3 linked regions of the Yarrowia lipolytica genome follow. The protein of the gene in region 2 interacts with the protein of the main gene of each other region in a pairwise test. Links are inferred from orthologs where the notes say so. Each region holds a gene or a part of one and is shown on either strand. Other genes may lie near its edges.

Evidence for each region. The genes of interacting proteins can lie anywhere in the genome.
Region 1: the proteins of YALI1_B05995g (region 2) and YALI1_E20626g interact in a protein complementation assay, tested with the Saccharomyces cerevisiae proteins (2 studies listed by BioGRID). The link is inferred for Yarrowia lipolytica from reciprocal best matches to the Saccharomyces cerevisiae genes SND3 and SUR2.
Region 3: the proteins of YALI1_B05995g (region 2) and YALI1_F14958g interact in a protein complementation assay, tested with the Saccharomyces cerevisiae proteins (2 studies listed by BioGRID). The link is inferred for Yarrowia lipolytica from reciprocal best matches to the Saccharomyces cerevisiae genes SND3 and ERG25.

What each region holds. Positions count from the first base shown.
Region 1 is NC_090774.1:2,060,638-2,064,869, forward strand, and holds YALI1_E20626g (uncharacterized protein), read right to left. Parts: upstream 2,004-4,232; coding exon 942-2,003; downstream 1-941. Other genes in the region: YALI1_E20635g (mitochondrial 54S ribosomal protein mL67), read left to right, coding at 2,924-3,538. UniProt on the Saccharomyces cerevisiae protein: Required for hydroxylation of C-4 in the sphingoid moiety of ceramide. Catalyzes the conversion of sphinganine to phytosphingosine in sphingolipid biosynthesis. Involved in the response to syringomycin.
Region 2 is NC_090771.1:597,664-601,475, reverse strand, and holds YALI1_B05995g (uncharacterized protein), read right to left. Parts: upstream 1,917-3,812; coding exon 1,739-1,916; intron 1,518-1,738; coding exon 1,117-1,517; downstream 1-1,116. Other genes in the region: YALI1_B06015g (uncharacterized protein), read left to right, coding at 1-579; YALI1_B05984g (uncharacterized protein), read right to left, coding at 2,471-3,001; YALI1_B05971g (uncharacterized protein), read right to left, coding at 3,069-3,812. UniProt on the Saccharomyces cerevisiae protein: Functions in the SND pathway, a SRP (signal recognition particle) and GET (guided entry of tail-anchored proteins) independent pathway for targeting a broad range of substrate proteins to the endoplasmic reticulum.
Region 3 is NC_090775.1:1,493,400-1,497,742, reverse strand, and holds YALI1_F14958g (uncharacterized protein), read right to left. Parts: upstream 1,872-4,343; coding exon 942-1,871; downstream 1-941. Other genes in the region: YALI1_F14946g (uncharacterized protein), read left to right, coding at 3,092-3,652.

The DNA of each region.
Region 1 (4,232 bases), on a different chromosome or scaffold from region 2:
TTGGAGCTATTGTTGGTGGTCTATACTGTATTCCTATTTTTTAAACTTTTTTAAATTTTATATATATATTTTGTATTTTAATATTTTGATTTTATATTTCTACACCCTATAACTCTATATCTATATTCTATATTTTATATTTTAATATTTTATTAGCCTTGTCTAGCAGTTAACAGTACAGAACTTTTAACCAACTGGTTGAGGTTGTCCAGTAGAATGCCGAGATGAAAGTACTTCCTATTGTACCCACACTATCAGCTCCAACTGTTTATAAACCACATCAACACATGCTGCATCAATATCATATGTCCTCTCCTCCACGATTCCGAGCCCCGTTGCCCGATCTGAACGTTGTCATCATCAACACCTTCTCTACTGTATGCGTATCACTTCGCATTCTCGACACAGCCCCTCAGGTCACAAGACCAGCTTGTAACTTGCTCCCTGAAAATCAACCTTGACTGAAAACAACTTTGAGTGATTACTGTTTGGCTGCTGAACTTTCCCTTTTGGTCCTGCGAGCAAAAAGCTGGGATTTCGCTCCAAAAACGTGTTTCGACCGCTTTTCTAAGCGCCTTTTCAGCCCCTTATTACCCCAATATTTGACTAACCTCAAAAACCCGCACTCTACAATGTAGATTGCTCATGCACTTCCTGCAACGTTTACATTCCAATGCCACCGCAACAACGGTATTTCGGAGATTGCGGAGATAGTCGTATTAGTCGTATAGCTTGAAAGTTTGTCCACCTCACTTGAATCAATAGCTCTCGTGCGTGTACCGTGCCGTACAGTCCTATATACAGTCCTCATACTCGTACTACTCGTTCTGTAATGCACTCGATGCTTGTTTATATACTGTACCGTTATGTTATCTGTTTAGTTTAGTCGTTTAGTGGCTCGGGAGCCGTGATGCTATGCTCGTGAAATAGTGTATCGTAGTCTACTCAAGTCGAGAAGAAACCACCTGCTCGGAAGTAGAAGCTCCAGTCGACTTGCCAGCCACCTCGGTGGCCTTGGCCTTGTTCTCATCCTCGGACGAAGAGCCGCTTCGAGACTCAACCCACTCCTTGTACTTTTGGGCCGTGATCTCCTTCTGCTTCTGCACGTAGCCCCGGGTGCCGTGGTACTCCGTGTTGAGAATGCGGTCCCAGAAGGTGAAGAAGGGCTGCGAAAAGTTGGTCTTGATGCCAAAGCTCTGATGGTGAATGTCGTGGTACACGGCATTGTTGGGGAACAAGATCTGGAACGGGTCCCAGGGAATGCAGTAGCCGCAGTGGTCATCGACAGTCTTGAGCGTGGAGAAGCAGAAGAACCAGATGGCTTCTCGGGTAGTCAGGCCCGAAACCATGTATGCCAGGCCGGCTCCACACGAGTCCATCAGCACGCCCTCCAGAGCAGTGTTGTACAGCGCTCCAATGGCGTAGGGCACATAGAGTCTGTGGTGTCTGGAGTGGAACTTTTTGTATAACCATTTGCTCTGGTGCATGGCCCGATGCAGAAAGTACTGCCACGAGTCGAGAATGAAGAAGGCAAAGGAGATTTTGACAAAGGGCAGCAGATAGGTGTAGGCGAACGCCGCGAGCCACGCCTTTGCGGGGCTCGTCTGTCCTCCAAACCGAACCTGCCACGTCCAAATGTCGTGAGCTTCATGGCCAGTCGTGTTGGGCTCCTCAAAGTAGTTGAGTAGCAGGCCCAGAGCCGTCTGGAGCATGTGTTGCTTGATAACGTCTCGAACAACCTCCGCAAACGTGCACTTGTTGCGCTTGGTCACCTCCTCAGGAGTGTGGATCCGGTACTGTTCGAGCAGCTCGTACTGGTCGATGATGTGGAACATGATGCCCGACGTCCAGTAGCAGATGATGGGCAGCAGCAGCGCGAGATTCTCGTCCGAGATCCATGACACGAGTGGTGGAATGGAGTGTTTGTAGATAGGAGGCGGTATCGACGACACGTTGGGGGCCGTCAGCGTTATTGGGCCGAGATTGAAGGTGCCGTTGTACATGTCGCAAGGGGTGGAGCTGTTTATTTCGCTGGAGCTGGCGGTGTAGCTGGAGTTGTTGGCGAGCAAGTCGGTACAAATGTAGCGTTTTTTTTCGTAGGTCAGGGGAAGATACGCGCCAAAGTTGGAAACTCTTAATTGTAACGTCTTGCCATTTTTGGTGACAAAGACACATAACCTTCTAGACTTATCAGATGGGCAGGTGGAGCGATGGACAGAGGACGGGGTTCAAGTTGGGCTCGGAAACCAGGGTCTAGACCGCCCATTTCCCACCTGGCAACCTTCAAATTTCCGAAAAATCGCCACCTTGGCCCTCTTTACTGCCCCTCCCCCCGTCATCCGTGCCTGCTTCTACACTCTCGTACCACAAGTTTCGCCACAGCGTAGCTAAGACAAGCTCCTACAGAGAAAAACCACCCTAGAAAAACACTAATGGCACCATACTTGTGAAGTCAAAAAACAGCAGTAGAATGATCATGTCAAGAGACCGAGGAGGAAGCCCTCTGACGGGGACGTATAACAGTATGAATGGTGTCGGTGGGTGGAGTAGTAGGGGTAGTCACGTGACATATATCCCTAGGCCCGTGTCGGTTCCTTCCTTGCCCCTGATTTTTTTCCAATTATCTGCTTTTCTTGGATTTATTTCGCTTGCACATTTTCGGTCGATCGATGTCTCGCTAGACGCGTCCCCCCAAATTTCAGAGTTCAACTTTGTTGAGCCGAGACCGAGCTGAGTCAGAAGAGTTGGTTTCGGGCGTTAGTCAGCGAAGGGAAGAGCTAGACCGATCATCCCGTGACCGTCACCTCGTGAACGCCAGTTCGAATCCCGCGAAAACCATTTGCAATTTTTCCCTCCCTCCAGACCTCCCTCAAACCCTAATGGAGATCACAAATTTCACACTGCAACATCATCTCCATCAACAATGGCACAGTACACAAAAGCCATGGGCACCGTACGAAAGTACACGCCCGCCACTCTCAAGCGAGACGGTAAGCCCGCGTTTGTGTACGTCTACCGACACCTCCAGACGGGACAGGTGGCCTACACCCAGGTCCCCGGCGTGACGGAGCACCATCTCAACCGACAGTTCAAGGACCCCAACTGGGAGAACAAGCGGCCCACCATGCGACAGGATCTGTGGCGGCCCATGGCCGTTGCCGATTTCGGCGACCACCAGGCTGCTTGTGATGCCTACGACGGCCTCGTGTACCTGCGATACAAGCGAACCCACGACGGCAAGAAGGACATCAAGGGGTGGAGAAAGACCAACGCCGCCGGAAACGTGTGGCAGGACGGCCAGTACCGGCCCGTTTACACACAGGAGGCGCTGGCAGACCTGTCGACCGTCACCGAGGCCGTCAAGGTGCCCGTGACCATCCACTGGGAGGACCTGTGGAGACGAGGAGCCGCTGAGTCCTGGCCTGAGAATGCTGACCATAGCGTTCTCAAGCGATGGGACGCCATCTACCCCCAGTCTCTGGAAAAGCGACTTGCCAAGGAAGCCAAGGTGCCTGGTGAGACGACTGCTGAGCAGTAATGTACATAGTTAAGGAAGTGAAACAAAGAGTGCGAAGCACTATGGTTGAACGGGTCCTATCCATGGGTATTCGCTCACAAGACGTTATACTGGCAAAGTAGTAAAGTGTGGATATTGTAGATGGTCTGGCTTGAGCTGTGGGAGTCGGAGTACGAAACAAGTCGAACTCCGATATATCAATAGTGGCCGGATGAGCAGGAGTCTGTAGGAAGTCATGCAGAGCTGCTATAGCTCGCCTTCTGATACTAGAGACTGAGTCAGCTTATGCAACTAACAACTCTGGGCTCTACCATTCCACCATTGACAACAAAGTCGCTGAAGACTGGTACACATTTCACCAATGAGCACAACAAGTCTCTACTATCGATTTCTGTAGTTATCCTCAGTGTCAACTCCACAAATCACACTTTGAACCCCCACTCTTTTGACAAAGCGTAGGTTCAGAATGGTTGAGAGCACGGGTTCAGAAAGGTTCAGAAAGGGTCAGAAAGGGTTCAGCACCGGTCGAAAAAGCAGGCTAACAAGGCTGGATACGAGGGCAGTGCTGTTTCTATACGGCTATACGGCTATGCGGCTGTACGCTATACGGGTGATAGACATGTCTTCAATCTGTCCAAGCAGCCTTACGGTGTTATCAACGCGTAAAACACACTTCTTCAACAAGTGATGGTCCATATACAATTCAATACAATAC
Region 2 (3,812 bases):
GACGCGCGATATCTCCGAGACGAGTTTTCCTCGGCCGTGGACCAGAAAACGTCGCTGCATTTGCCCGGAAACGACCCCACCGACCCGCTCATCCTGCGCGTAAAACAACTTGTGTCGGAGTTCGTCACAGAAACCATGCAACTGTCGCGACACGCGTTGGTCGTGGACGGCGCGGAGATGGGACGGGTGAACTCCATCGACGCGCATCTGCGTGAGTCCACCGAGCACATTGAGCCGTTTGACATGGGTTTAGCTGAGGAGCTGAGACGGGTGTACGCCGAGGTTGACGAGACAACTGTGCGGTTGAGCGAGATGCGCAAGAATGTTCCCAAGGTCATTTCTGAACTATACAAACAGGCTGAAGTCAACTGCGCCGACATTGGCCAACCTACTGAGGAAGGAGTGACATTGGAAGCGGTGCTGGAGGAACTGCCTCCTGTCGAAGAGCTCAATGAGGAGGACAGAGAGACGCTGAGGCAGTCATTGCTGGAAATTAAGCGCCTGAGAGGAGCTGTTCCAGAAACCCATACGAGATTGGAGGAGCTCGGCAAGGTGAAGGAGGTTGTCGGAGGGCTTTGAGAGAGACCATACAATTGCGCTATCCGTTTTGACAGCATTAGCTGGAGCTGACGCGTGTCTACAAGACATAATAGGAAACTTGCTTGGAAGCATGCGACTCCTGGCATACGGATACGACTGCTAAGCCTACTGCTGACTACTCATCTTGGGTGAACTACAGAAACTGGAGTACAATACCGTATGTACACTCTTGTGATAGAGTACCCAGCTCCAACTCTTCAACGCATCCGACACGAGCTAACTGCTACTTACCCCGATCTGCTACAAGTACATTGATCACTGAACGAGCGCCATATCCGCTGACTCAAGCCATGGGTAAGGCTAGGCAACCATCGGCCCTCTCGTCATCTGTACTGCTGCCATAGACCCACTGGGATGAGAGATATCGTTGTTTTATCCCAATTGACATAATTTATTTCATTATTTATTCAAGGATTTAGTCTACAATTGTGTAGATCTGAGGCAGTCCTATGACTATGGCCCAGGCTCAGAATCACCAAGCTTGTGCAGTATACAATCTATTACTATTCATAACGCTTACTCCTCCTTAACACCTCCGGCACCGGCAGTCTCGGCGGCAGAAATGGTCTTCTTGTCGGTCTTGATGTCGCCACCGCCCATACCGGCTCCACCAAACATGGAGGCGGCCTTGAAGGGTCGCTTGAGATCGCCAATGGCGGGCTTGCCAAAGACGTGGATCTGGACAATGTTCTGCTCAATGGCGGACTTGATGGGCATGATGGACTGCAACAGAAGAGGGTTAGTGTACTTCATGTAGATGTGCATGAAACCCATCATGGCGATACCGGTGAAGACACCTCGGATGGCAGAGTTAACCTGCTTGATATCGTACTCCTTGATGGTGGTGGTCACGAGCTTGGGCTCCTCCTGGCCGCCGAAAGCGTTGGCAGGCTCGACGTATTTGAGGGTGGTGAGATCTGGGTTAGTACTGAAAGACGGTGAAGGCTGGGTGTAACTTGCGCAGATCACAGCAGTGAAAAAGATGACATGGACATTAGCTGTGACATATGCTGTGACATATGTGCCCTGTCTGTGAACTCTCTCTATGGACAGTGGCGCTGATCTGTTGACCAAACCACGTAGTAGCGTCCTTCGGGTCACGGAACACGACCACCGTCGGTTCTACTCTCATACTCACCATTCTTCTTGGTAATGATGGACCGGGTGTAAAGGTACAGGCCCAGGACCAGCAACTGGGCCACCACGTAGAGAATTCGGATGCCCATCAGCACCTGGGGGTCCTCAAAGGGCACCTTCTTGGACACCTGCATCATGACAAGCATGATGACGAGGTTGGAAATAGCAGGGTTGACCATTTTTGCGGTTTTTTGGGGGGAGCGTTGGCTGTGTGGGTTTTTTTTAGTGGTGGCGTATGACGACAAGGAAGATCGTGGGTTTGGGGTTATGGGGGTTTTACAATACGTTGCAAGTAATAAAGTTTGCCGTGGGAAATTTCACCACCGCCAAACTGGGTCGAACGGCACACGTTATCGGAGCCATAACAATATGGAAGGTTCCAGCAGCATAGATTTGGGCGGAATAAAAAATAAACATTAAATATAAAATGAAATTAAAAAAATAAAAAAATAAAAAATTGAGAAATTGGGCGCGGAAATTCGGGAAAATCCGGGGAAATCCGGGGAAATCCGGAAAAATTGCGGCCAGAATCGTTTCTTGGAGGTGAAATTTTCGCAGATATTTGGACATGTTATAAAATAACTTTCCATCTTGGTCTCCTCACCCCAGACCTTCGGTCTACCACTCGTATTGCACGTATGTACAGTAGTGTAAATTCGGGTTGTTTGGTTGTTTAGTTCTGTCTACCTGTATGTAATATGAAGTCACGTCACGTGGCTGTGTGTACTCGGCGTTAGTTGGATTCGGGCAGATGGGGGTTCCTGTTTTGTTTATGGATTTTGCGCCGTTTTTCCCGAAAAAATAATGAAAAAATAAAAATATTTGCTCGTGATTTTCTGGCTCTTATCAGTATGGCTGGCTCGCTTCTTTTTATGGGACTGCAGGGTGTGCATGGTGGCAGTAAATTCACCTGAAATTGCAGAAAGTGAAGAAAAAAAATTGAAAAAATTGAAAAAATTGAAAAAATTGAAAAAAGACTTAGAAAAACACATGAAAGGATCCTAGGATGCCGTACAGTACCACCATTGTAGAAATATAAAATCAGTTCAGTTCCCACAGTGTCCTGTCGAGATTCCCTGTCTGATACCGTGAAACGGAAAAGTTGTCTGCAGTGAGTTAAGTACGTAGATGCAATACAAATGCCCACTCTCAATATCAGTAATAAAGACTTAAGTATACAATGCAAACCCTTGTTCAGGGATATAATTAGCTGTTCATGGGCTGAACGGGACTGAAGGACTCGTGCCGACTCATGCCGTCTCATGCCGTCTCGTGCTGTCTCATGCGCTGTTCAACATGCCCAAAATGACTGCATCAGACGAATTACAGCCCTAACTGTAGTGGATCGAAACAGCCACTGGTAAGGCAACAATAGTTGCAATAATGGTCACTACCTTGGTGGCCCACCATAGATGCTGGACGACAAAGGGACACAGAGAGTAGTCAAAGTCGTACTTGCCCTCTGTATCGTTCCAGCTGCCTGTCAGCAGGCCTGTGTTGCCGCCAAACTCGCCCATCATGCTTCGAACGGTATATTCTGACACGGCATTGCCTCTTCCACCCTCAACTGTCCAGTTTCCGTGTCCAGGATCAAAGCTGTAACTGGAAACACAACCCTCGTGATCGTGGCCAGCCAAGATAACGCCTCGAGGATCTTCCCTGCCGAAGATACCGTCAAGAAGTCGGTTGGTAGCATCCTCAGAAAGATGGTTCTGAGACCGCAGCCACTTGTACTCGTTATCATAGTACTTAAACATGGGTCCGTCGGCACAAATGCCTGCCGGCTTGTAAAGAGGCACGTGGGTCATGAGAATGGTCGACACGTCGGGCTCCTGTTCTCGAGCCTGTCTCACCATATCCACAAACATCCAGCAATCGTTTTGGAACTGCTGTTCGTAAACGGGACCGTCTAGAGCCAGATTATTGAGCACCACGACACGATACCCTTTTCTGGGCACATAATAGTTGACTCTGCCAAATCGGTTTTCGAATCGGTCGATCCGTTCACGCGTCATTTCTCCTCCATATCCAATATCGTGGTTTCCAGCAATATTGTACCACATGACGTACCCGTC
Region 3 (4,343 bases), on a different chromosome or scaffold from region 2:
GCGGGTACAGTGGTCTTTACAGACCCATAGCATGGAACAATGGACATAAACGACAGTTGGTAGATGGAGGGAGAGGTGGTAGAAAGACTGCCAGAGGCACTGACAGCTCTTTGGTCCCTACGATACTTGAGGGTATTCCACGGTGTATGGACGAGTACAGTAACCACTGGTAACTGGGATTCTGTGAGACGATATCGGTGTATGCTATATCTCTTCTGTCCTTCGTCTTGATTCTTTCTCTTCATGTTGATCTAGCCCTAGATCCATCATAAACAGCTGTATTGCCACTGACCAGGAGGATCACACGAGCATGTAGATGTGTTTTGGAAAAAGAAACACCGATGTAACGCCATCACTCTCCTGATATACATTGTACCACAAGTGTGTAGGTACTGTTGGTCTAGTCATGAGACACTCTCGTATATATGCGAATTATGTAAGACCTACTTAAACAATAATAATCATAATAATAAATCCATAATAATAATATATTATTATATTTAGTACAGTAAAGGTAATGCTGGCTACTGTTGAAATCATGTAGTCCGGCTCTTGTAACCTCCCTTCAATCAACCACATGTCTCCTATTCCACCATCACAACATGTTCACCAAGTTGGGTCACTTCGGCAAAGTTTCACATTACTTCTTTTGGGCTTCCTCACCCTTCCTTTCTTTGTCTCTTTCCCCAAAGGGAATTGTTTTTCTGCTTCTATTTATACACGATGAGGGCATCTGAAGTACATGATCTGAGAGCTAATCGAGCGTCGAGCTTCGAGCGTAGAGCTTCTAGCGTAGAGCTTCTAGCGTAGAGCTTCGAGCGTAGCGCTTTGGGCGCTTCGTCGTAAGGAGAAATGTATCATATTAAATAACTTATGTATATACTGGGGTCAGTTTTGGATCGGGATTGGGTATCGCGACCGTAGTGAGTGGCCGGGGTCGCTTACTGCTGCTTCTTGGCCTTCTTAGCAGCCTTGGCGGCAAGTCGCTGCTGTCGCTCGGCCTTGGCGGCGGGACCGGCCTCGGTGTCGAGCACAAAGTCCCACCATCGGAACGACGAGGCGTAGTTGCCGGTGAAGTATCGATGGTGGTCATCGTGGTGGTCGGCACCGGCCCAGATGGGCAAGAAGTGATGCAGAGACACGGGGAACTCATAGCCAGAATGGGCGTCGATGGCCTGGAAGAGTCGCAGGGCGATCCACACAGACACGGTGAAGAGATGGAGATCACCGGTTAGCATGACCCAGGCAATGGGGATGCCCACAGTTCCGACACCAAGCAAAGCCACCTCAACGGGGTGAGCGTACTCGGCAGTCAAACCAAAGGGAGCGGCGTATCGGTGGTGCTGCTTGTGGATGTGCTTGTAGAAGGGACCGTAGTGAAGGCCTCGGTGCAGCCAGTAGTGCCAGGTATCCTCCAGCACAAAAAATAGGGCGAGATGGGCACAGATCTTCATCCAGGAGGGGAAGGGCACGTCGATGGAAATTCCGGCGTACTTGCAGACGGGGTAGAAGCCCCAGATGGGGATGGCCTCGACCATAAAGTGCGAGATGAGCACGGACTTCATGCACTCCCACTGCTCGGCCACAGAGGGCACCTTGGCCTCGCCCTGGATCTTCCACTTGTGAAAGTAGGGGATCTGGTCGAGGATCATCCAGGGCACGCACCGGCCAAAGTAGAGAATCTCGTGCAGCAGGAAAATGAAGATGCCGCAAGCAATGAGATCATTGCCCCACCACACAAAGTATGATGCCCACACCCGCTCGACAATGTTGAGGGTGTCGGCGTGGGCGTCGGACAGCTTGGCGTAGGTGCCGATGTAGGAGGCCGCGGGGGTGACGGTGGAGTTGATGCTCTCGAGAATCGAAGACATGGTGTGTCGAGGTGAGATATGGGACTCCAAAGGGTGGGATGGGAGGGCCTATAAAACACGAAAAGTATTAGCCTTTGCTCCTAACCCTGTCGTTTGCGTCGTATCCCGGGGGGGTTGCAAGATGTGTAAACTGGGATATTTGGGGGGTAAAGGGCACCAACATGATGGCACTGACACGGTGAGTGTGACTGTGTGGTTTTTTTCCGTGTATTCGTGTGGAAATGGTCCCCAACGACCCCCGCAAGCAATCATCTGATAACCCAAACGGGCTAAACATGCTGAACCTTCTGCATCCAAACTCAACATGTGAACACGTCAGGGGCGTCGCGACGGCACATCTGATTAGGGCCCTGGACGTGTTTTAGGGGGCCGTGGGTCTCGGATTTGTGCTCGCAATCTGTTCTTCTGTCTGCTTCTGACGTACTCATAACCTCGCCGGTCGAAACCGCCGTCCGGAACGTGGTCTAGAGTAGCATGTCCGCGATCCGCCATCGACTCGGCTAGATTAGCTTTTTGGTTTGGTAAAATGGGTTGAAAAATCAACATCAGCCTACTGATCCAACTCCCAAGTCGTATATGTCGTTTAACGGCCTTTTTCAGAAAAAATGCTGATAGGGTTTGGATATACGATGGGAGCGACGTGGGGGGCATCAGCTCAGCTGGAACGGCCCAGCGCCATGTGGGGCGATTCGGCGGCGACCGTGGTCCGATATATTGGTCCGATATATTGATGGTTTGGTCTCCTTGTTGCCTTGGGTTGGCCCCGGGTTGACTCAACAGGCCAACAAGTGTGTCCAAGCGTTACTGTAAAGTCGGGTTGTTGTTTACAAGGTCACATGACCTGCACCACTTACACTGCCCAACTTGCTTACATATAGTCTCGGAAGCACAGGTGGTGTGATGAAGAGGCCGTGCCCTGGATAGGAACATGGCATCATTGCTGGGTATGGATGAGGCTGCAAGTACGACGAGTACGAGTCGGGTGCCGGACCGGTGCTCGTCGTGGAACGTCATAGGTATGGTCAGCTAAGGTGTGGCGCAGTACAGCAATACAAGTGTGACTGCCATTTTTTATACTCACACCACTCAGGCGATTAGCCGAAGTACGATACAAGTAAACAATGGCACAACGGATAACGGCGTGGATAACGGTGGTTATTAGTTACAAGTACGAGTATGTACAGTACATACAATAGGTTTAACCAACTAGACGGTAAGCGATGGTGCGACCAACAGCGGAACAGGAGAGATACAAGTTCGTGTACCGTAGTCGTATGCACTGTACGAATAGGATGTTGGACTGTTTTCGTCAACATCAACAGCGACGGTTCTTTTTTATCACTTCTGGGAATAGGCTGATACGAGAGTACAGCATACGTACATATAAGACAGTGCGAGTGGTGCTGTATCGTACATTCGACAGTAAGATCAATGGTTTTTTTTTTTTTTTTTTATTTATTTATTTGATTTTTTTTTTTGATTTTTATTTGATTTTTATTTGGATTTTTAATTTGATTTATTTATTTATTTATTTTTTAATTATGATTTTGATTAAAATTTTCATAGATCGTCGATCAAACCTCGTCAAAAGTCTGCCACTTTCGGCCAAAATTGTCCGATTATTTTACCACAGCACAACTACAAAAAGTCGACGTTCTGTAAGGAAAAAGATTTTGCCATACGAATCAAATCAGCGTGAAATGTCCAATCAAATGATACAACTTCTGCAACCACTCTTCATGGTAAGACGCAATATTCATCACAACATTGGAGCGCATTGAATGTTCAAGACTATGGACTACTGTAGTATGTACCTTTACAGTGAGTATCATCGGCAGCTCTATGGACACCACGTCTCTTACTTGAAACTGTTCTTCTACATACTCGATACTGGCATCGTCCATCAAAACCAGGATTATGTTTGCTGCGACACGGGTCGGTCACAAGGTCCAAATAAATATTACTCAGCAATTCCTCCCGTTTTTCCATTTTTTTCCCAACGTATTCGCCCCTCCAGAGACAATCTGATAACCCACACACAAGCCTCACTTTTTGCGTCTTATTTTGGCCACCTTACCAGCCACCTTAGCCCTGTGTATTCGCCATGATTAAACAGGTTGTGGGAATGTTCCACTCTCGGGATCACGTGACTTGGTCACGACCCAGCCAATCAGACGCGCTTCAAAGGTCAGCATATCTGTGCACCTCTCAGATCATCACGTGATTCACCCTCCTCGTCAGCCAATCAAATCCCCAGCAAAGGTCAGCGAGACACGCCACTGATGGGTCACGTGCGTTATGGGACCAACCGGCCAATCACAGTGCCGGAAAAGGTCAGCGGGGGCGTAAGGTTAGCGAGAAGTCTAAAACATGTATACGAGCATGACATGGTGTGGCTAGTATAAAGACCTCTCCACACGCTCGATAGTTTCAGTATCAAGCCTCCAAGCTACACATCTGACACGAACAACC